2 linked regions of the Oryza sativa Japonica Group genome follow. The main gene of each other region encodes a partner of the protein of the gene in region 2 in a complex. Links are inferred from orthologs where the notes say so. Each region holds a gene or a part of one and is shown on either strand. Other genes may lie near its edges. The genes, in order: glutamyl-tRNA(Gln) amidotransferase subunit C, chloroplastic/mitochondrial; glutamyl-tRNA(Gln) amidotransferase subunit A, chloroplastic/mitochondrial.

Region 1 (11,580 bases), on a different chromosome or scaffold from region 2:
TTCAGATGCATTCATGGTTGATTTATCATTAATAGGCTAATCTTGCTATACGAAATTGTAATTCTTGAAATAGTGTACTTAAAATCAAACTCCATAAATCTCGCCGCAAACTTGCAGTATCCAAAGAAGAGTATGATATAAAAGGTGGAGATACCAAAAAAATAAGCTTATGATGACTCAAATTTGCATGCAAATGATTTCCAAGACCCCAGATCGTGCCAATTGGTACCCTCAATTCAGGATTGTTGTTAGGGCTCATAATAGGAACAGTTGGTATTCATTTCTGGTTATAATCTTTTAGAATATATTGGCTTTGATTTTGAACTCAAGGCAGACTTGGGATATGCACACTTTCCTTTTGAGTTGAGTTAATTTCGAGCATATCAAGAGAAGCGCATAAACTTTGACTTCTTGCCCACAAACATGAGTCATCTAACACAGCCTTCTTGGGATAAAAAAAAAACTTATTTTGATGCAAATAGTCACTTACAGGATTAGGGAGCTTTCTGGAATTGCAGAATTCCTGGTGCAGGATTGAATAATTAAAATGCTTTGTTTGAATTTTCTGCCAATGTTATGATCAAAGAACATATCAAGTATTTCTCAAATAATGCAAAATAAAAAAGAGAAGTACTGAGACACTTCATAAAACAAGGCTTGTCAGGTAAAAAAAAAAATCGACACTTGATTTTTTTTGGCTAGAATTGGGTAATCTGGTGGGAACCAGCTGGTTCCTGCTGGTTATTCTAGCTTTCACAGGATAGGTTTTTTGTTGTTGTTCAGCAATTATATATGTTGTCCTAGTGCCTATAAGCGTTCATCTCATTTGATAGCTACAACTAATATTGTCAGTTTTATCCAGTTAGTGATTTATGCCTTCTAAAATGATTAAATATTTAATGCTTATACTAATTCAATAAAATGACCCATCCCAAAAAAGAAAAGAATCGATGCAATGACGCTAATGGAGTTGGCATCCTTTTTAGTACTGCTGTAATTTCAATTTCTTCTCTGACATTTGAGATAGCTATTAACTCAGGTAATGGTTTACTTCCACAGAGTTAAAGGATATTTATAATCAGAAGTCACCCTATATACTGTTATGAGATTTATGACTTAATCCTTACCATGATATCATCTACTTGCACTTCATAAACAATGTCTCATGTTTTATGTAAGATGCCCCTGAGAAGCCAGTCACTGGCTTATGTGAACTTTCTGATAGTGATATATGAGAAATATCAAGCAAAACCATCCTTAAGATTTAAGAACTGTGACACTTCTAATACGAGAATAAACCTAGTTGTTTTGTAGTTCTTACTTCTGGTTTTCCATTACAATAGGCATCCAGCAGCAAACACAGTCAGAGCTGATGCAACTGTAGCAGCTGACCAGGTTCTGTGTTATGTACCTTTTAATGATTTAGTATTGGATGTTGATATTGATTTAATCATGATAATTGACTATCTTTTGCAGGTTGATACATTTGATGAAGAACTTAAGAAGCTGGTTGGAATGGGCTTTGAAAAGGTAATTAATGCCCTGTCCTAGGATGAGATTCTCCTAGCAATCGCCTTATTTCACTTGTGCTAGTTCACTTATCATGCCCAACTCAGCAGTTTTAGCCATGCTAAATTTGGAGCAAAGAAGTAAAACAAATGGACAATTTGTTCTCGATACTCATCTATCTGATTAAATAGTTGTCAGATTTTCAACTAATTGCGTTGATGGCCATGTCAGACTCTATTAATGTTGGGAAAATCTGAATCCTTATTGATGTAAAATCTGAATCTTAATCAGAAAAGAACAGGACCTATGTCAGACACTATTATTGTTGGGAGACTCTAGCTGAAAGTTATGTCGCATGGTTTCATAAGAGCCCACAAATTATTTCAGCTATACACTAGGTATTTGTGTTGTCCATATGGCCACAGAAAGCCTTCCACTGATGTATTGGTTACCTTGCTGCAGACTCAAGCTGAAGTTGCTCTTGCTGCTGCCGATGGAGATCCAAATGTTGCTATTGAGATTCTCATGAGTCAGCAGGTTTGTCTTGATATTTTACTAATTTATTCATTTGTTGTTTAATATGGTTCATCCTGACATTATTAAGGTTTTGTTTGTTGCTTTGTCCTTATTCCTAGGGTTAAAGGTTTCAACATCACTGATAGCAAGCGATGGAGGCTCAATTTTAGGGTGTAGATTCTGGTTAGTAAAATTCAAGAATGGACCATTCTGGGCAATTGTTTTTGCCAACATGGTTATATTGAAGATGCCCTTAATTGTGCTTCTATGAAGGTCAAAACTACAGTTAACAATGACAATAGTTGCATTGAAGGCTGTTTCTTGATGTATTAGTAAAACAGTAATTGATGCTCGGGGCGCTCATTTTGTTGGCAGATCTTCACAATTGCTATTTGGCAATATGTCTAGCTAGACAATAAAGCTTTTACAAAGGAAAAAAAAATCGGTGCATACTTACAATTGATTCATCTTGAGCCAACGGAGCAGGAGAAGGGGGGCCGTTTGGTTTGCTACCATTTTCAACCCTACTAAATTTTGGCAATGGCAAACATTGTTTCAATGGCTAAAGCACGAGCCTCCAATCTTGTTTACATATGTGCTAGAATTTGTTCAGATCGGTGATGTGCGCTAGAATCTTGTTTAGACCCCCCATATAGGTGTAAAAGTCTCAAATTGGATATGCTCCCAGGTCCCTATTATTCATACTGTGCGCTGGTTTGGAGCGCCCCAGGGACTGCTTGTCCAATGTGTTTACAATCTTCTGATATTGCAGAAGATTGAGCACCTTTTCGTTCAATGTGCTTGCAATCTTCTCAACCGTGTATGGCACCTGATGAGTGATGATGGGACTGGACGGGAGTGGTTTTTGAGCTGCCTGGCGAATCTGGGTATGGATCTTAGTGGTGGCTGCAGGGTAGGCTGCGTTTTCGGCTGAGCTACAGGAACGCTTTTGACTCGGGTTTCATGCTCGGGGTGTTTGATCAGAAGTATCGGCCGGCTGAGCGGCTCTCCTGCGACATCCGCGAAGAGGTTGGCGTCTGGAGGGAGGCAGGGTTGTTTAAAATCTGTAACGGCTGAAATGCTGTAAAGTAGAGAATCTCAGCCGAGTTTCCTGGTTTGACAGCTCTGTCGATGTTTGTAACAACACAAATTTTACCCTTCAATCTTAATAAGATTTGGCCGACCTGGCAAAAATATAGAGCACCCAAGGGCCAAATAATATACAGCATAGTCTATCCAAGTGCCAAATAATCTCATGGGCTTTTATCCAATCTAATTCACTTTAGTAGGATTCACAAGAGATTCAATCATCAGTTTGTAGATGGCTGCATGCATTTGAGAATTTTTGAACAGAAATCAAGCATATCAAATCAAATGTTTCTGGTCTGAAAATATAATACAATATTAAACTATTAAAAATAGCTTCCATAGTAAACAAATTACAAATGTTGACATCATGATCTCGAGCCATATCATTCAGTTGAAATGATACTAAACTTGACTACTAAGATTTATTGCTAAACCATGTTACATTGTGCAACGGAAAAAAAAATTGATCTACAAATTACAGGTCATTCTTTGTTCAGCACTCTTGGCACCTTGATGTATGGATCATCATAGCTTGGGACAGACTCTATTATGGCATCTCTGCGGTGATGAAAAAAAATAGTGTTCATCACATGACAATAGTCTAACGGAAGACATGGCTAGAGTTATTTGTTTACTACCTGTTAGTAAATGTTTCAGGCCTGTCTTCTCTCAATGAATTACCTGCCGCAGTACCTGTGGACAAGACAGTCAAGCGCAAAGCAGGTAACAGTAACACACTGCAGTGGTAGGACGACATAACTAATGGAAACAATATGTAGTAGGACATTTGTGCAAAGATGCAATGTAGTGAAGAGTAAGTCTATACAGTAATTTTCTTGAAAGCAAACCAAATATGTGTATGAAAGCATTGAAATACTGAACTAAAGTTAATTAATGAAGAACGCCAATAGAACACTCAGAACTCAGAAGACTCGCTGTCTTGTTTTGTTGCATATCATAACTCAAAATTCATTTTTCAAACCATAAGTAATTGGTTGTGTTATCCCTCTTATTTGGTTCTTTGATTTCAGGTGTGTAGCATGTAGCATAATTCAAGTAAAATGACAGGGATTAAAATGCAAACCATGCGTGCGGTCAAATGCAGCACTAAAAAGTGAAGCATGCATAAACACGTCAAGATTCCAAAACCATATGTATAAAAAAAAACATTAGTTAGTTGCATTGCTCAGTTATGAAATAACTCTACTCTGATAGTCAAATCAAGAAAGATAGTGTATCACGACCTAGACGATTGCACAAAACTGAACTGTATCAAGAATGAAGCAAATGGCTAACTGCCAGTTGAACTACAAACCTCTACTTTGTAATAGGCTAATAGCTAACTGAGTTACTCTGAGTCATTTTACCAAATCATATGATAGGACCAAACAAGCAATAGTTCAAGATGATATGCAAAGATCAGGACGAATACCAGCTCTAAGTGAAGGCTCAACAGATTCAAGATCGACGGCTTGAAGTTGCCCAAACCTGTAACGACAATAAAAAAGTAAGGAAAGAAGATTTATAATTGTATTAAACGCGATGCATGAACATAAGTTTACTTCTGTGCTCCAAGGTTCTTCTCAATACAAGTATAACCTCATCACAGCACATACAACACCACAAGGATTTATCACATGTCTCTCTGATCATCCCACAAACTTAAGATATAGCAACAAGAACCATCCTATTTGCCATGAACACCATATGATGTTCTAGTTACTTTGTTATGAAATAACAATCCGATGTTCTAGTAACCATCCTAGCCTAATCTGCATTACTTTGTTATTACAGACTCTTATCTGCTCCAAACTTGCGAACTTCAAAGTACTGAAAACCAAATATCTGAATTACGCATAGGGAGGAACAGAAACAAATTACCAATCCACCACCTGCCGAATCTTCGGCGCGAACTCCTCAGCCTACCAGGCGAGAGCACACACAGGCACAACAAGCAAAGCATCATCAGCCTCCGTCACAGAGAGTTTCTTCTCATCGAGAGACAAGAGAGATAGAGAAGTGTGCTGACCTCTTCCGGCGAGAGAGAGATGCGTGCCGCGTTGGCGAGGCGGGGCAGGTCCGGCGGCTCGAGAGCCCCACTCCCTGCCGCCGCCGCCGCCGCCGGGATACCGGGCGTCACGTAGGGAGGTGAGGAGGAGAGGGAACGCCGCCGCAGCAGCAACCATTGGTTCCTCGCAGACTGGTTCCGCGGCGGCGCGGCCCAGCGGAGCCTCGGGATGGCCGAGGCGGCGGCGGAGAGCATGGCCGTCGTCCGCGGCTACCTCCGGCGAAGGATTCGAGGAACAGACTCCGGCGGCGGCGGCGGCTTCTGGGTCTCTCGGATTTGGGCCGGGGAGGATTATCCACTGCTACTATCCTGCCCTTCCATCTGCACCGTCAGATCTTGTATCTACGGCTGAGATTGGGGATGCGCAACATTCGCACTCCAAAACCATAGGAGAAGCAACATTTGTTCATTTACTCCCATCCCCGGCACAGGAATCCCTTCAAAATTGGTTAGTGCCCCCCAAAGGCATTTCTAGAACGAGAAGTAGGGGCATGTTTGGAACAGCTTCAGCTCCAACTCTATCTTTTCTGGAGCTGGAGCTCAGCCAAACAGTTTCAGCTTCACCTAAAATAGGAGCGAAGCTAGGTGGAGCTCTCTCACAAAATAAACTAGAGTGGTGGAGCTGGGTTTAGATAGCTCCACAACTCTACTTCAGACCTAACTCCATCCGACTCACGTATGACTGTGTCGAACCAACCAATCACGAAGTTCATTGTCATTCAAGTGGGCCCAGTTGAAAACAAATTTGTACGTGTGCAGGTCGGAGTCATACATATAGTAATTATGTTCTAGAACTCATAAAATGCACAAAAATTCTAAGGAGATTTTGAAGAATCAAAATGGATGCATGAAGAGTTGACAACGAAGGAAAGGTTCATATTTGCTGGAAAGTCCGGGCTAGTCTAGTATTTTTATGTTGTGGGTTGGAAATTCTGGATATTGAGAGTTAATTTTGAATCTCCAAATTGAAAGCTTGGCTATGTTTGAAAGCTAGTTTAAATTTTGCTTCTTTTTTTTGCCGCATATGAAACGAGAAATGACATTACCGATTAGTTAAGTATTAACTATTATAAACTTAAAAAAATAAGTTTGTTTAATTTTCTAAAAGAAACTTCCATATAAAAAATATTTACAAAAAAGAACGTACATTTAGCAATTTCAAAAGCATATTCATGGTAATCGAGGGGATTGTAAAACTAAATAAATAAGGTTTCAATCACAGCCTAAATTAAAACTGTAAGGAGGAAAATGTAAGATGGAATTTCAGTAGTTAACAATTTGGAATTAATAACTTGGTTCAATCAACAAAGGCTGTGTTTAGATCCAAAATTTGGATCCAAACTTCAGTACTTTTCCATCACATCAACCTGTCATACACACACAACTTTTCAGTCACATCATCTTCAATTTTAACCAAAATCCAAACTTTGGATCTAACTAAACACAGCCAAAGTATTGAGTATACCACAGCTTAAAGTTTGAACTTAAAAATTTGGAATTCATTTCTTTTAGTGTTTAAGTAGGCAAGTAGGGAGCATATCAATTCCCACTTCTAAAGCAATGTTCAAAACAAAGGAGTGGCCATACTTAATCTGTTTCTACCTTTATGTCAAAGTAGCCATGATGACCATCAGTAGTTTAATGGCCTAGATCACTATATGTGCCATCATTTGGCTATTAGCTCATTTTTTTAAAACAAAATTATATGAACATCGCCTACATTTAAGGGTCGGCTGTATCTAGAATAAATTACAACATGACTTTTTTATGCAAGGAAAAATCATTAGGATGAAGTCCTACTTGTAATATAAAACATATGCTTTTATTGTTTATGAATTAGGGTTAAGTATCTACAGACATCTTAATTTTCATAATTAACATCGATAACATGAGCTCCTTGAATGAATTGTACTATGTCATTTGAAGCTCTCAGCTCGTAGATATGGTACTGTCTTCAATCGCTTTTGAACTGTCAAAAAGTTTTAACTTTTTCGTCAAAGTAACTTGCATGCATGTGTTTCCTCGAATTCCAAATGTAGAAGAACTTCTTAATTACCTTTCGTCTTTCCTCCCCGTTTGTGATTGCTAACCAGTCCTCCTATATGTTAACTCAAACAAATGATTCATCTTTTTTTACTGCAATATACATGAAGAAAAATAAAATCATTCGAGTTTTTTTTTGTTGTAGTATAGAAATACTATGTAAAAACAACTTATATTATAATTAGGATCAGAGAAAATATCTTATACTTTTATGGGTCTTTGCGAGGTCAACAAAGCTTTCGTCGTGCAAGCTAATTGAGTAACGAAACACTTTCTGAATGAAAATAATTGCTGGTAATGATGACTATTTACAAGTAAAAAATGCTCCTCGAAGTGGAACTGTGGAAGAAATGTTTTAAGTAGTACTTCCTCCGTTTATAATATAAAACGGAGCGAGAAACTGAAAAGGCACTAGATTTTTCTCAGCTATTTCAGATTATTAGTGTGGATTATTTGTTTCACATCTCTATATATATATATATATATATATATATATATATATATATATATATATATATATATATATATATATATATATATATATATATATATAAACTACTTTTGGTGTGTGTATTGCATTCTTTAACAATGAAAAACAACACGTTGTCCTCTCATATACGTCACGTAGTTCATGTAGCCGACGGATGCTCGATAGTAACACACGTGAGCCGCCGGTAGTGCCATGCGCACCAACTGGTTTCAGACTGCGCCATGAAGAAAAGTGGTCGAAGCCGTCCAATATAATCTTTACCAACCAACCAACTATACTAGCAGTAGTACTTCGTAGTAATTAACCACGATAACTTTGTTGGCCACTAACAAAGGAAGTGCCATCCTGAGAGTCGTGACGGCAGCAGCCAGGTGGGCCCAGGTTTCCCCTAATCCGTCCAGAGTGCTCCTTCGCCTCTCAATAAAAAAAAGCCCTAGCTACTCTCTACTCCGATCCCCCGCTCCTGCAGCTGCCTGTAAACCAGCGTCTCATCTTTCAGCTAATGCTTATCAGCTAAATTTAAATTATTTTATTTTTAAATTTACAGTTGATTTTAAGACTTTTTATGGTAGTTTATTTTTCAGCTTTTATTTTTAGATCTTCAAGAACACGTATAGCATGTATAGTGGTATCTAATAATGGACTCTATTCGTTATCATGTAATTAAATTTGGTGACGTGAAAAAAGAGAGGAAAGGAAGAAAAAACAACAACAGATTAGAACCGATTCTTAGCATTTATTATCGGAGAATTTATTGTATGAGTGTGGAGAAAATGAAAGAAGTATTAAAAAAAATTATTTAGCGTACTAATGATTTAGAAATCTTATTGTCTTTACTATTGTAGGAGAATAGTATCTAGTGATATTAATTAATATAAATAGCTCATATTAAACTCTACTTTTCTACGTGCCCTATAAGTTTTATTGATAAATTATTTTTTTGTTTTGCAAATATACCATGAAACGAAGGGCCTGCAGCATTCCGTATTTCCGTTCAAACTGTGAAGAGGAGGAGGACAAAACGGAAAGGCCCAGCTCAGCCAAGCACGCAGACGCAACGGCAACGGGAAAGAGAAACAAAAAGTGGAAAATGGCCGACGCTGCCGTGTGGGCCCCACGTCCAGGTGGGGGCCCTATTTATTCCGAGCCCGATCCATCACCCAGACGACACCCACCGCGCAAGGAAACGAAGCGCGGTTTCCGTAGCGCCGCCGCCGCCTTCGCCGCCGCGGGCACCACTCCCATTAAGACCGGATCAGCTCTCTCTCTCTCTCTCTCTCTCTCTCTCTCTGTCCGTTGCGCTCGTCTCCTCCTCTCGCCGCGCCGCCGCCCCCCGCCCCCACGATCGACGACTCGCCGCGCCGCCGCCGCCGCCGCCGCCAACGCATGCAGGTAGTGATCCTGATCCCTCGCCGCCGGAAAGCGGCAACAGTTTCTCCTTGTTCCGTCCGCGTGTGCTTCTTCCCGCCGCGCGCCGCGCGCCATTTGCTCTTTCGATCGGCGGGCGGTTGTTAATTTTGTGGGTTGATGGGGGTGTAGATCATCAGGACGAAATTTGCCTTCTCCAACTCTGCTGCTAGAGCGCTTCATTCGGGAGAGGGCACAACGCGGATCGAATGCGCACTTCCACATTTATTTCCTTTTCTCTTTGTTATTACCAAAAACATTTTTCTTCTTCTTCATTCTTTTATTTTTTTTGGTTCCTGGTAGTTCGATTCATGCCGGAATAGATTCCGTTGGTCACTGTCCAATGTCCATGTCCCCTGTTCCTAATTCCTTTGTGAGCCTTTTCTTTTTCATCTGACGTGTGAGTTGAGTTGTCAGTCGTGTTTACACTAATCCATTGCATTTGTCCATGTAAAGCAGATGATTTGCTTTTCCTGGGTGAGTTATGAGTCACATGCAATTGCTTCTTAACCTGCACAACCTCTAAATTAAGCCAAAAGGCCTAGTCATGTTATCCAGATTACTTGTACTGGCCATCTAAAAAAAGGATTACTGTTGTTGTTTGTTCTTCAAGCGATTGATACTGACTTCGTGTCATATTAGGACATCCAGATCAGTTAAATGGATGGTTTTCTACGTCAGGTATTACAAAGTCAGCTCTCATCTTATTGTCTAACCACATACCTTATTGTTTTGAATGAAGTCTTAACACATATTATGATTCTAACTTGATCCATTAGTGATATGTGCTTTTTGGAAGATTCTAAATATGTGGTCTCTGTTTTCCTTGAAAGGAACTACTTTCAACATACGTGGTCATGTAATAATGGAATGTATTCCTAGAAGTCAGTACAAGTGTGCAATCCGTTCAAATCATTGTCTGCTACTTTTCTCAGCGTGTTGTCGTCTTATCCTATTCCAACGAGGGGCAACTCCTATCTGTTTTTGGTGGGCTTGTGGCCAGCTGGGTTGATAAACATTGCCACATGTTCAAGTTTTTGTTCAGTGCTGAGCGCAAGCAACAAACCAAAATGGGGGGAACAGTAGTTTCTTGTTTTGTTTTCTTTAAGTTGAACTAATATTTTTTTTAAAAAAAAGACACAGCTAATGGCTTATGTATGATATTAGTTTTTTTTAGGATCATAAGTTTTGCACCTTTTATGGTCCATATTTACCATCTTATTAATTTTTAACCATTGTAATTGTGCGATATACCTGCTATGTCAAGTAAGCTTTTGTTATGTACTAAAACTATCTGTCTGATTTAATGCATGCAAGCCTAATTTTGTTCCTTGCTACAAGTTATGATATTTTTTAGGGTGGTTCATCGCTACAAGCTATTCCTGAAGAAAGTGTCTTTACTTTTTAAAATTTCTTATTGTGCAAGTATAGAACTCACTGGGAGTTGTAATACCTCACGGCATGATTACTGTGTTGGAAAAGAGTACAGCTGAAACACTCTTTCTTTTTTTTTTTATCAGGGGATGATATTGTAGGTAACTATATTTTGATGTGGTACAATGCAACTTCACATGGTCTCAGCTAGTTTTCAGCTTTTTCTGTAGGCAAGATGAAGTTCGGTGCAATATATGAAGAGTATCTTCGGGAACAGCAAGACAAATACCTAACAAAGTGCTCACATGTGGAGTACAAACGTCTCAAAAAGGTACTGAAGAAATGTCGAGTTGGTCGCTCATTGCAAGAAGACTGCCCCAATGGTGACCAGCAGGAGGGGAACAACGAATCTCCAGATATTTGCAAATGCAATTCATGCACATGTATGTTCAACTTCCTGCTTTCATCTAATAGCATGACAGAGTACCAATTTTCTATTTTCTTTCTTCGATTACTCCAACCTGTGTTTTTTACATAGAACTCAGAGATTTGTGAGGAACTAAATATATCTTGTTATAATTTACTGGGAATTGTGTATAGATTACATTCACGATGGGTTTTAAAACAGTGCAGTTTCTGTTTATGATGATTTATCTTACTAGTAGTAATATGGCCTGCAATGCACCCAAAATTATACCAACTGATTCTTCCCTTTGGTAAAAGTATAAGGACTCTAATTTCATTTCATACAATCTAATTCTCTGCCTCAAAGATTACATATAATAGCTCGGAAGGTTAGGTAGCTCAGGTTGTCTATTTGATAAATAGCTGTGAAGAATTATATGTCCTATCAGATTACATGATTTTGCAACAAAACTTGTACTACTTATCTTGAATATTTGGCTAAATCATTTCTTTCATGTGATGTGTTGGCTATCACCTTTCTTGTCTTCCACTTAATCTACTATCTGTGCTTTTCAGATCCTGACTTCCAATATTTTCTTGTTCAGTGTGTGATCAAATGTTCTTTACAGAACTTACTAAGGAGGCTTCAGAAATAGCTGGCTGTTTCAGCTCTAGAGTA
Region 2 (11,837 bases):
ATAGTTATTCTTATTAGATGATTGACATTCAACTTCACATTATCTTTTTTTTTTTTGGCAAAAGTGTTGCCAACTGCACGGTTATGCTTTATAGGATTGAAGTGTAGTAAATAAGCTTTAGTAAATGAATATTAGTCACCTATATGACCAATTGACCAGCCAAGCTTCATACCTAGATCGTCTATTGTAGCCATGTGCTAACTAATCGAGTTTAATAGGCAGGTCGGTCACCTTGAATGTATTCCTCTGTGCATGCCATTAAATCAATAGGTGTGGTAGGATCTTACAAATAAAATAGATAAGTGCCAATTTGTAGCATTACTTATATATGGGCTTAAGCATTGCACTGTTTAGTCTCCATGTATAAATTGCAGGCAACATATTAGAGAAGTGAAGTTGGTTTATGTACTTTTAGGAAAGCATCGTGATGGTACATTAGTACTCCTTAAATATCAAGGTTTTATTATTGAGGAGTTTTATGTTTCTTATCAAAATTTTACTTTAGTTTCAATCACATCAACACATCCCAAGATAAATATAAATTGAGTTAACCACTAAAGCAGATAGGGATGGCTGATGTTTGATAGAGAGAGATGGGACATGGTAATGCCAGCATGCCAAGGAGATTAGTTTTGTTTTGCGTAGAAATCATGAGTTGTGTTGTCAGAAGTCATGACAAATGTTAAATGCAGTGCATGTGTATCTGGGTTAAAACTGCAAGCTGATCCTTCAACTCTGAAGGCCAGATGAATTTCAAGTTGGACCTGCTAGTTTGCATGAACCAGAGGTTCACTGGACATGGATTCTTTGTGCTATGAGTCGCTGAGTTGCATTTCCTTTACAAAGCAAACTAATAGCGGAGCCTTTAGTTTACTTTAAAATTTTATGACAGTTCAAATTTATCAAAACCAAGGCCATTTTCCATAACCACTGTCCACTGATGAAGCTGAAGAATAAAAGTTTAGATTATCATTTAATCTTGACAAACTGGAATTGAGCATAGATACATGTGGTCTTTCTGCTTTTTGACAGATGTGCTACCTACTGTGGCTGAAATTGTTTCTTCTGTTCATTTGTGACACCAGCTTTAATAATGTGGACTATTGTAGCATTCACATGTGGAATTAATAACTCTGTTTCCCAAAAGTTTTCACGCTGTTGCTTCTCTTTGCAGTGGTGGAAATAATAAGTTGTGATGCTGGAGCTCCAGAATCGCACCTGTTTATAGAGTGGCGGAGGTTTTGTTTCAGGCGGTAGTCTGGACTCTGTTCATCCAAAAGACCACAAATAATTTGTACTTGGAACCAACCAACGGATGGATTGTTTATGTGCAGTTTTCGTAGTTAATTCAATTGGGCTGTATTTCTTTGCCATGTTCGTTTTAGCTATATATTTGTTTGGAAAGGTGTTCGTTGATTGGGGTTTCGCAAACTGAAGCTGCAGACTCGAAGTGTATTTCGATCTGGTTGAGTAATTCTGTACTCTGTACTGTAGCAGCACACTTTTCGTTCTGAATTGTCGTGGATGGGAAAAGAATAATTAAGCTCTCATTTTGCCGACTGCTGCTAGGATAAAAACCATCTGCGCATAAAGCTTCTCGAGAATTTCACATTTCTATCGATCCTGAAGATTTTCATATAAAGCTGTTCATCCCTTGGGCAGGAAAAATAAATTCCAAAACGGCCTAGCTCAAATCTTCCGGTTAAGTTTCAGCAGTGGAGAGTTTCAAGAAAGACTACTATCCCTCTTTCGATGAGAAAGGGTCAGAATATACATCCTCTATAACTCAGATCGACGGAAACACGTGTGTTACATCTGAAACACATCCCTCTTTCGATGAGAAAGGGTCAGAATATACATCCTCTATAACTCAGATCGACTGAAACACGTGTGGTACATCTGAAACACACCACACTGAAAAACTATCCATCTGCGCAAAACCCAAGACGTTGAGACAACATGAAGTCACGACTCACGAACAGTTCCCTGTCCCTCCCTCTACTATTATTATCCAATATATAGAGGGAAAAAACATAATTAATATGAACCAATTTTGGCCGCGTGTGTGCTGTTTCCAGATGGGCCATCACATGGTCTCAATTCTAAACAACTATTACACGAGAGAACCCAATCAATTATACAAGCATTTAACAAATTGTCTCGGTCAATATACAACATGAAAAGAATCTTGTCTTGAATAGAAAGGGCCTCGAAGCCATGAACAAGGCAGAGATGATTGATGGCGCATTGCAGCTAACTCTCTGCCAGCAATGGTGGGACAAAACTGTAATTCTGGAGCGTTTGCTCAAAGATATGCCCTATTCTCAGCAAATTCCCCTAGTGAAACAGAAATAAAACAGATCATTGGTGGATTTTCAAATAGAAGAAAATTGCTAGAAAAATACAAGAATGAGAAAATAAACTGCCAAGCATGGAACAAGTGATATTGGTGCGCCAGCATTCAAGATCAACAATAGCATTTTATTACCTCACTGAAGGGGGATCCAATCATCTGAAGTCCAACTGGGAGCCCCGCAGATCCACCCTCAACAAATCCACAAGGCACAACCAATGCAGGGAGACCAGCCAAATTAACATTCACCTGCATCAGTCATTAGACTACCACTCCTTAAGATTCTCCTACTGCAGAACGTTTGACATCACTTGTGACCATGAGATTATCTACTAGAGGTTAGTAGTTTTACCAACATGTACCAAATTTTGCAAGAACTAGGAAGTTGCAGAATGCAGCAGACAATGGATTACTTTGGAGCAAACCCAAAAGTAGCTGTAAATCTAAACAAGAGAAATATGCTAAGGATTGTTACCGTCATGGTATCTCCTGCATACATAGCTAATGGATCATTTATCTTTTCACCTGCCAAAATTTATTGAGTTGTCAATCCTGAAGGAAAGCAGTGAAGGAATCATACAATAAATAATCATATTATTAGCATACCTATCTTGTAAGCTGCTGATGGCGCAGCAGGTGAAACAAGAATATCGTATCTTTCCAGAGCTTCTTTGAAGCTTTTCTTAACCAGTGTCCTTACCTACTACAGTGAACGTGATTATTATTTTTTTTTTGGTTGCACAAATGCCTGCTGAGATGTAAAAATTATCAAAATGCAAAGTGCATAGGATGCTACTGTCTTATCATTACCTGTTGTGCTCGTTTGTAGTATGCATCATAGTATCCAGCAGATAAAGCATAAGTTCCCATCAAAATTCTCATTTTGACCTGAAAAATAATCAGAACAATGTTAGATTGTTTGTTTTCTCATGCAAATTACCAGCAAACGATTTGCGGTCCATGTGATGCACAAAAAACTTGCCGTATTGGTTATAGATAGCTAAGTTAGTCATGATAAGTTCCAATAATAAGAGATGGAGGTTGGTGGGAGTTGATGGACTACCTCGTGACCCAGACCGTTAGCCCGGGAACCTCCATAAAGTTCATTCAAGTCATCGCCTGAAACCTGCCTCCCATACCTGTAAACGATACCTGGAAAATATAAATATTTCTAACTTTAAGAATACAGGGAAAATGATGAGATTAAAGTACAGAAATATCACCTGATACCATCATAACGTGATAGATTAGAAGAGGCTTCAGATGAAGCCAGTATGTAATATGCGGGTAGGCCAAGAGAAAATGAAGGCAGAGAAACCTGAGAAGTAGAACAGCATAAATATTTTAATTTTTCAACAACTCAGTGTGAAACAAGAAATAACGTACTTTTTAGTGTAAGAGAAGAGTAACAAACCTCTTCCACCACTGATCCCAATTGTTCCAAGTGAGAAGCAGCATCCTTGATTGATGATATGACTCCAGTTTCTACACCCTCACCAAGAGTTTCTTGAATAATTCCAATTCTCATACCATTTAATGGTTTTGATTCTAGCAAATCTAGTGGGACCAACTCTGATTTATAGTCTGAAACATCCTATAGAAGCAACCAAAAAAAAACAGATTCAGCAAGCCTACGCATTCTGTCTTCTAGCTCCAAATCCAATTGCACATGTGTAAATCTTAAGGTGACCAAAATCATGGTAAGATAATGGAACAAAACTGTAAACCTACCATATTTTTTATATGCAATGTATTAAATCAGAACTTTATAAGATGGAGATGGACAACAGTTAGTTTCTCTTTGCCAAATCAATGTTAAGATTGTTAACCACAAATTTATTACAAGATTGCCATCAGTATCACACCACAACACACTAATGTCAGGATTTATGGGAATGATCAGACATCAAGATAATCAGTCACAGAAAGATAGTTGTCAATGCAACATAGGATCTTGCTGGGCAAGTTTTTGTTTCTGATATCTACATTGCTTAGAAGCTGAGATAAATGTTTTTTAGCCCTAGCTATTAAACTGGAGTATAGATGCCTAAGGATCACTAGATTTCAATTCTGTAACAGTTGAAACAGACAAAAAACATATCAGAATTAAAAAGGTAAAGGAAAAATGTAAGACAAGGATATGTTTCAGTTCCATACATGAGAGCTACTAGTTGAATCCATTTTGTCATGGCCAGCAATTACTGACAAGATTGTCGCAGTGTCAACAACTGATGAACCAAAGCATCCCACAACATCTAGTGATGAAGCATAAGCCATGAGGCCGAAACGAGAAACCCGGCCATAGGTTGGCTTTAACCCTACCACACCACAAAATGATGCTGGCTGTCTCACACTTCCACCTGTATCACTCCCTAAGGATACCACACATTGTCTAGCAGAGACCGCAGAAGCAGAACCACCTGAGGATCCCCCAGGCACACGTGAATCGTCCCAAGGGTTTGTTGTGACCTGCATATACCACCATTAATACCAGTCAGATCACCCCATATCTACACTTTGCTTCAAGCATTATAATGCTTTGTTATCATGTTATGCAACGGTTAAAACCATAGGTGAAGCACTTGCTAAGAAAATACTCCTATGCTACAAGAAGCCAACCAGCGATATGAACTGAGTTTCACACTGATAAGTCCAAATATACAATATCTGTGTTTGATTTCATTGGACTTCACTAACAAATATAAACACATTTTTGCTGTTCTAGATTACAAACTTTAACGAATTCTGACTAGAAAGATACAATGAACTGGTCTTAGTGTATCCAAACCTGAAACCCGGAGCCCTCTGTAGTGCTCCCCATGCCGAACTCGTCTAGGTTAGTCTTCCCCACAACAATGGCGCCCGCCTCACGAAGCCGCCGCACCGCAGTGGCATCGTACGCCGGCTGGTAACCGTCCAGTATTCGCGACCCACCTGTGGAGGGCATATTGGCGGTGCAGAGGTTGTCCTTCACGCCGACGAGCACCCCGGCCAGAGGCCCCACCGCATCCAGCCCCTCGGTGGCAATCCTCCGGTCGAGCTCCTCCGCCTCCCGCTCGGCGGCGGCGTCCGCCACGTGGATGAAGCTGCGCACGCTCGGCTCGGTGCGGCGGAGGCGGGAGAGGTATTCCGCGGTGATCTCCGCCGCGGTCCTCTCGCCGGAGAGGAGCGACTCGCGGATGGAGAGGATGGAGGAGGGGGCGTGGGCCGCCGCGGCCGCCACCGTCTTGGCGGGAGCGGACGGGAGGGAGGAGACGGCGGTGAAGCAGCGGAGGTGGGGAGAAGGGAGGCGTCGGTGGGACAGGAGGAGGCGCTGGGCCTGGAGAGGCGGCGGCATGGCGGCGGCCGGAGGGGAGGCTCTCCGGCGAACGCCGCCGCGCGTGAGTGTGGGGGTTCGGGGTTTTGGGGCGCAGCAGATGAGGCGTGGAGAGGGGAAGGAGGTGTGCATTCGGGCTTGGAGATTGGATTGGGGTAGACGGAATGGATCGTTCGATTGAGGACACGTGTCCCTGTGACGATTGGTGGCCGCACGATCGGAATTGGCGGCCCTTCTGTACTCGAAAAAAAAAGGGACTGCAGCTCCAAGACCATTTCTGCAAAATTTGAGAACGTTTTGTTCCAAAGAGAGCTTAAAAGTTAAAACTAGTTTGTTTTCACATTAGAAACTCATCACATGCGTAAAAAATATATTTAAATGTCTAAATTCACTGTTCTAGATGTACAGTTATTCAATGTTGTAGCTTGTAATTGTCAGTATCGTATAAAAAATAATGATTTGCACCTCTTTTATAAACATATTATTGTTCTAGATATAACTACGTAGTTAAAGAAATGTATTGTTAACCCCACAAAAAAGGTATTGTTAAAAAATATGGAGGCACATTTTTTTTACTTAATTTTAGTTACTCTTTTCTCTATGTTACATCTCATATTTAATCATACCTTTATCTCTCATAATTCATATTTCAAGAACGTAATCAATTTTGTTTATCCTAATTCTCTTATATCTCGTGTATTAGAAAAACTATACTGTAGGTATTAAAATTTAGGACATAAAACGAAACAACTGTTCTTCTTAAAAAATATGACTAAAAGATATAGCCAATAAGAAAATATACCATTACTTATAACCTATAACCCAAATAGTCTAAGATTTCATGAGTTAGTAACACTAAGTATTTTTAAATATAAAATATTTTTAAAATCCTGAAAATGTTTGTCAATAAGCAATGGCTATAGTCAATGATCAAGGAATCAATTCAAATGTGACGGTGCAAAATTATCAATCACAAGCACAAGTAGTCAATCACTGACCTAGAAAATCACATGACATAGCCCCTAGCATTGTAGCTACCATATTATCATCGTGGACTCGTGGGTCGTTTAGAACCTAAATGCATAATAGACAAACCATACGTAAGGGTTAAGACGGTACCATATTAGCACATATGCACATATATATAACTATAATCAATAGAACAATTACTAATTAAATTATGTACGTACTAATAATGTAGGCTTAGAAAAATAGTGCTACTAATGTACTATATTTAACTTTATAAAGAAGAGAATAAACGTACATCTACATCTCATACATCCACATATAGATCAGCTATGTTAAAAGAACATATGTATATATACCATAAAATTTTATGGAATTTTATGTAACAATATCATGTCTACTGCTAACATATTTTTATTCTCAGTCGACGCAGTAACCAAAAAAAAAAAAAGAACGCCTCACGGTCACAATCTCACATTTCTCATCGCGCAGGCAAGTCATGACTGGGAAGAAGAAAAGAAACCACGGTGAAGCACGCAACGCCCCCTGAGGTTGAACGTGCCCGAAGGCGAAACCGAACACCTGAGCCAACCCAGCCCCTAGATTGTGTCATCAGTCATCACCCACATCGCTCGCGCTCCCATTAAAAAACCCCCTCCCCCCTCCTCCGGGCGGAGCTCCCGAAGCTCGCCCCCCACCACCCCCTCGCGCGCGGCCCCCACCCACCCCACCCTCGCAGACATCACCGCCGCCCACCGTTCCCATCGCCGCCGCCGTCCTCTCCCCCGCCCGCGCCTATATCATCTTCTCCCCCCCACCCTCGCGTACAGCAACGCATGCCCCCCCTCCTCCCCTCCCCTCCCGCTCGCCGCCATTGACCGAGTGATTCGCTGCCTCGCTCGCGAACTCCTACCCCGCCCGAGCCCGAGCCCAGGCCGCGGCCGCCGCGAGATCTCCGGCTGCTTTTCAGGTATGGTCGCCGCCTCCGGCCTCGCGCCGCCGCGGCTGGCGGTCTCCTGCCCGCGTGCGGCGGGGCGCGGCTGCGGCGGACACCACCGGGTTGGCTTCCTCCGATCCGCTCCCGTGGCGTTGGCGGGGCCCGCGGCCGCGCAGCTCCGGTGCTGCGCCTCCACCGTCGACGACGGCGTCGTCTCCGCCGCGGCGGCCCCCAAGCCCCGCCTCCCCAGGTAAACCCCCGCGGTGCCTCTGTGCCGGTGTGCCCCACGCGTGGGCGCGTGGCTCGTGGTCCAGTGGTTAAGCACTTTGGCTGCGAGATGTGGCTGGTTGTGTAAAAGTTAAAGAGATCCTACAGTCCGTTCACCTCGCGCAGAAGGTACCATTTGCGTGTTGTTCGATCGCGAACGGTGTTACCATTAATGTGATTTTTGTGCGTACTGCGGGGCTTTCCCCTGGTTTCTGTAAGAATGGTGCGATTTTTCAGTTGGCATGCTGTTGATTTAGCCTGGGTTTTGACTTAAATCACGCATGCTGCTCAATGTGCTTTGGTTGTTCAGTGGTAGAGGGTTTTAGGTGGGAAATTTGCCGTTGCCTGTGATGATTGTTCATTTATTAGGTTGGTCGGATCGGAGTGCCACCGGGACTTTCCTTATAATCTTGTACTAGGGGTTTATGTGGGCTTCTTATTGTCGAAATGCACTAGTTTTATGTAGTCAGATTGCTATAACTGCTCAGAATCTCTGATATTTTGATACTCCATTGAGATATTTTGATACCCCATTGCTGATGTGAATTTGCCTCAACTCGTTTATTGTTACTATGTGTGACCGGAATAGGCCGTTTCCGTGTATAGCGGAAGAATGGTACCTCATGGTTCCTCTTATTATAGACCAGCATTGTCATTAAATGTGGTGGCAAATGATGCAGTTGATGTACCTTTCACTGTATTGCAGCACTATTGCTATGGTTGGTCCAACAGCACTGGTTGGACTTACTCGTTGATCTGCACTTTTTTTGTTAAGGAGTCTAAATTATTTTCGACTGTGGAATGAACTCATAAAATTAATGGGAACCTGTAGGGTCGTCGGTATGGGTTCAAAACTCATTGGATGCGGATCGGCCACTCCATCGCTTAGCGTTTCAAATGATGACCTTTCTAAAATAGTTGAAACATCAGATGAATGGATCGCAGCACGGACTGGGATTCGGAATAGGCGAGTTCTTTCAGGTACTTCTAGTTCACCTTATTCCATCGAGTTTCATGACAAGTTAGTTTCATTAGCGTCAGTTGTGCCTCCTCTATGTGGATGCATAATAAATATTTGTGGCACATCATCATAGTTGATTGGTACATCACACCACCATTGATGATTGAAGTATTTTTACATCGTGGACTTGTTGATTCTATGAAGAATGTTGATAGATTATAGATGAACATATGTTCTGCTACAAGGCATTTTTGTGTCTATGGTCTAGGCTTAACAGCATCATTCAGATACCATGGCTCACAGACTATGTACGAAGATAGATAAGAGTGAATTTTGATAATTTGCTGTTACCAAAGTAAAACTCCAGTAAACATGTATCTTGTTACTGTTCCAAGATTGTATATAAACAGCGTGGCACTTTTCACATATTTATTCTAGTTATCTTTAATACAATAGATGTGAACCACACCATTGAAAGTTGGTCTTTTGTGTTGTGAACGTATTATGATCAATAGCTATTCAGGTGTGCAGCGTGCTTCATTTGTTTATTCTCAGGAGTAATTTATAGTTTTCATGTTTAGGAAATGAGACACTGCGCGAGCTTTCAGTACAGGCAGCAAAAAAAGCTCTTGAGATGGCTCAAGTAAATGCTGATGATGTTGACCTTGTTCTCCTTTGCACGTCTACCCCAGATGATCTGTTTGGAGGTGCTGCTCAGGTATGGCTAGAAATATGCATTAGCATTGTACTATATTGTAGTAGTTATCGTTCACATGTTTTCTTACTACTACTTACTAAAAATATTAAGAGAAAGTAATTATCTCTCAACCTAATATATGTCTTCAAAGATCAGAATTGCATGACATTCCCAATTGCAAGTAAGAATATTAGTATGTTAGATGTAAATTATGTTATGTTCTGTAAAGTAATGATATTGGCCCCAATCCCATGGACCATGGTCTTGTGTGTATTTACTTCTTAATTAGTTTTACATGTATGCCACCTGTGGGTATTGTGCGAGTTACTGCTTATTCCTGGTTTTGATTAAAGTCATCTCATTCTTGATAATCTACATCTGTTTGTATTTTAATGTATAGCATAACTAGAGTGGAATGGGGTTTTCTTTAGCGTTAGGTTTATTCAATGAATTGTTGTTCAACTCCAGTTGCTAGTATATATTTCATGTTGGAGATTGACACTTTTATATTTACTCCCTGACCACTAGTTTTTCTATTATGAGTCTTTTTATCCTTAGGAGACATTGAGTGGTAGAGGTATATTCTACTGTTAATCACGATGTATGTACTCCCAAGGAATAGGACCATAAAAATATCTCCTGTTACACTCCCATCTGTTGACTTGTTTTCTCTGTTTTAGACAAACATCTTAAATTTTGACCTCTAATATGTAACAAACAATTGAGATTGATCATGTGAAATGGTAGCATAGAAGTTTTTTTGTGGGAAAGATTCAAAATATTATTAAATTTATACATAGCTATTAAAATGTTACGACAACAAGGTGTTGGAGATCACGATAGTATCCAAAACATCATATATTCTTGAATAGAGGAGTATTATGTTGTTATACATGAAGGTAAGTATATATTACGAAAGTGTGTTTCATATTATATCCTGCAATACACACTTGACCAATCTCGATAATTTTTGACATACTGATGGTCAAACTAAAATGTTTGGTTGCACATTTGTATTACTTCCTATATGTAGCATCAGATGGAGTAGCTATAAAATAATATATACACAATAACACAATGAATCCGGTCTTTGTATCTTTCTTATTTCCTTCTATGTTTTCTTGCCTGTTTAGTATTTTAATCGCTTTGAACTACATCTACCAGTAAAACTATAAATTCCCATCATAAATGTATATTGATTTATTAACTTGACTGCTCTCTTATGTTCTTTTAAAAAAAGATGTGCACAATTTTGCATTAAAAACATCTGGTAAAAATATAAACAGGTGCTGGCGGAGGTGGGATGCGCAAATGCATTTGGCTTTGATATCACTGCTGCATGTAGTGGGTTTATTATTGGTTTAATTACGGCTACTCGTTTTATCAAAGGTAACTCTTTTTTTTTTCCTTGTGAGGATTGTTGGCTATCAAACACTCACAGGAGGTTGTTGTTGTCACCTTGTTCGATTAATATATGACAATTTCGTAGGTGGAGGCATCCGGAATATTCTAGTAATTGGTGCCGATGCTCTTTCACAATTTGTGGATTGGACAGACAGAGGTACATGCATCCTCTTTGGTGATGCTGCTGGTGCTGTTTTGGTTCAGGTATTTGTTACTTTTGCTGAAATATCGATATGCTTTCCACTATCCACCAAATTATTACTCCGTACTAAGTATGAGCGTCCCATGCTTAAGTTGGTTTTCATAGACCATTGTTGGGCAAACATGATAATTTATATATTGCAACTGTATAGTGGTACGCATTGTACACAATCTTTTGCAAGTTATTTAATTCACAGTTTTTCAGGCATGCAGTGCTGATGAAGATGGCTTGCTAGGTTTTTGCGTTCAAAGTGATGGCAACGGACAAAAGTGTGACTTCTTTTAATATTTAACTGAGATCACATTTCTGCTACCATGTCTTATTAATTTCTCTGTTTACCTATTTTAGGCACTTAAATTGTGTCTCGTCGCATGTTGAGTCTATCCTGTCGAAGACCAATGGTGTCCCTAGCTTCCCACCTAAAAAGGCAACCTTCTCCAACATTGAAATGAATGGAAAGGAGGTTTTTCGCTTTGCTGTGCGATGTGTGCCACAATCTATTGAGAAGGCATTGGAAGAGGCTGGTTTACCTGCTTCCAGTATTGATTGGTTGTTGCTGCATCAAGTGAGTATCTTTATATCGATGAATTTACTTTGACCGGAAGCATCAATCTAATTGACCTGCCATTTTACAGGCTAATCAGCGGATTATTGATGCTGCTGCCAGTAGGTTGGATATCCCATCTGACAAAGTTATTTCAAATCTTGCTAATTACGGAAACACCAGTGCGGCC

What was found.
Region 1: glutamyl-tRNA(Gln) amidotransferase subunit A, chloroplastic/mitochondrial (region 2) and glutamyl-tRNA(Gln) amidotransferase subunit C, chloroplastic/mitochondrial share a complex: the UniProt entries of both Arabidopsis thaliana proteins name them as parts of the heterotrimeric GatCAB amidotransferase (AdT) complex. The link is inferred for Oryza sativa Japonica Group from reciprocal best matches to the Arabidopsis thaliana genes AT3G25660 and AT4G32915.

Annotation. Positions count from the first base shown.
Region 1 is NC_089037.1:26,135,754-26,147,333, reverse strand, and holds glutamyl-tRNA(Gln) amidotransferase subunit C, chloroplastic/mitochondrial, read right to left. Parts: upstream 5,476-11,580; 5' UTR 5,378-5,475; coding exon 5,144-5,377; intron 5,037-5,143; coding exon 4,996-5,036; intron 4,603-4,995; coding exon 4,547-4,602; intron 3,808-4,546; coding exon 3,753-3,807; intron 3,673-3,752; coding exon 3,597-3,672; 3' UTR 3,357-3,596; downstream 1-3,356. Other genes in the region: rhomboid-like protein 15, read left to right, coding at 1,344-1,395, 1,477-1,530, 1,972-2,046, 2,145-2,150; probable E3 ubiquitin-protein ligase BAH1-like 1, read left to right, coding at 10,732-10,939, 11,507-11,580. UniProt on the Arabidopsis thaliana protein: Allows the formation of correctly charged Gln-tRNA(Gln) through the transamidation of misacylated Glu-tRNA(Gln) in chloroplasts and mitochondria. The reaction takes place in the presence of glutamine and ATP through an activated gamma-phospho-Glu-tRNA(Gln).
Region 2 is NC_089038.1:33,240,922-33,252,758, forward strand, and holds glutamyl-tRNA(Gln) amidotransferase subunit A, chloroplastic/mitochondrial, read right to left. Parts: upstream 5,779-11,837; 5' UTR 5,691-5,778; coding exon 5,142-5,690; intron 4,823-5,141; coding exon 4,511-4,822; intron 3,948-4,510; coding exon 3,768-3,947; intron 3,672-3,767; coding exon 3,577-3,671; intron 3,493-3,576; coding exon 3,417-3,492; intron 3,242-3,416; coding exon 3,164-3,241; intron 3,054-3,163; coding exon 2,960-3,053; intron 2,879-2,959; coding exon 2,829-2,878; intron 2,603-2,828; coding exon 2,489-2,602; intron 2,338-2,488; coding exon 2,254-2,337; 3' UTR 1,966-2,253; downstream 1-1,965. Other genes in the region: beta-ketoacyl-[acyl-carrier-protein] synthase III A, chloroplastic, read left to right, coding at 7,608-7,822, 8,672-8,820, 9,382-9,518, 10,784-10,886, 10,987-11,105, 11,308-11,372, 11,452-11,668, 11,739-11,837. UniProt on the Arabidopsis thaliana protein: Allows the formation of correctly charged Gln-tRNA(Gln) through the transamidation of misacylated Glu-tRNA(Gln) in chloroplasts and mitochondria. The reaction takes place in the presence of glutamine and ATP through an activated gamma-phospho-Glu-tRNA(Gln).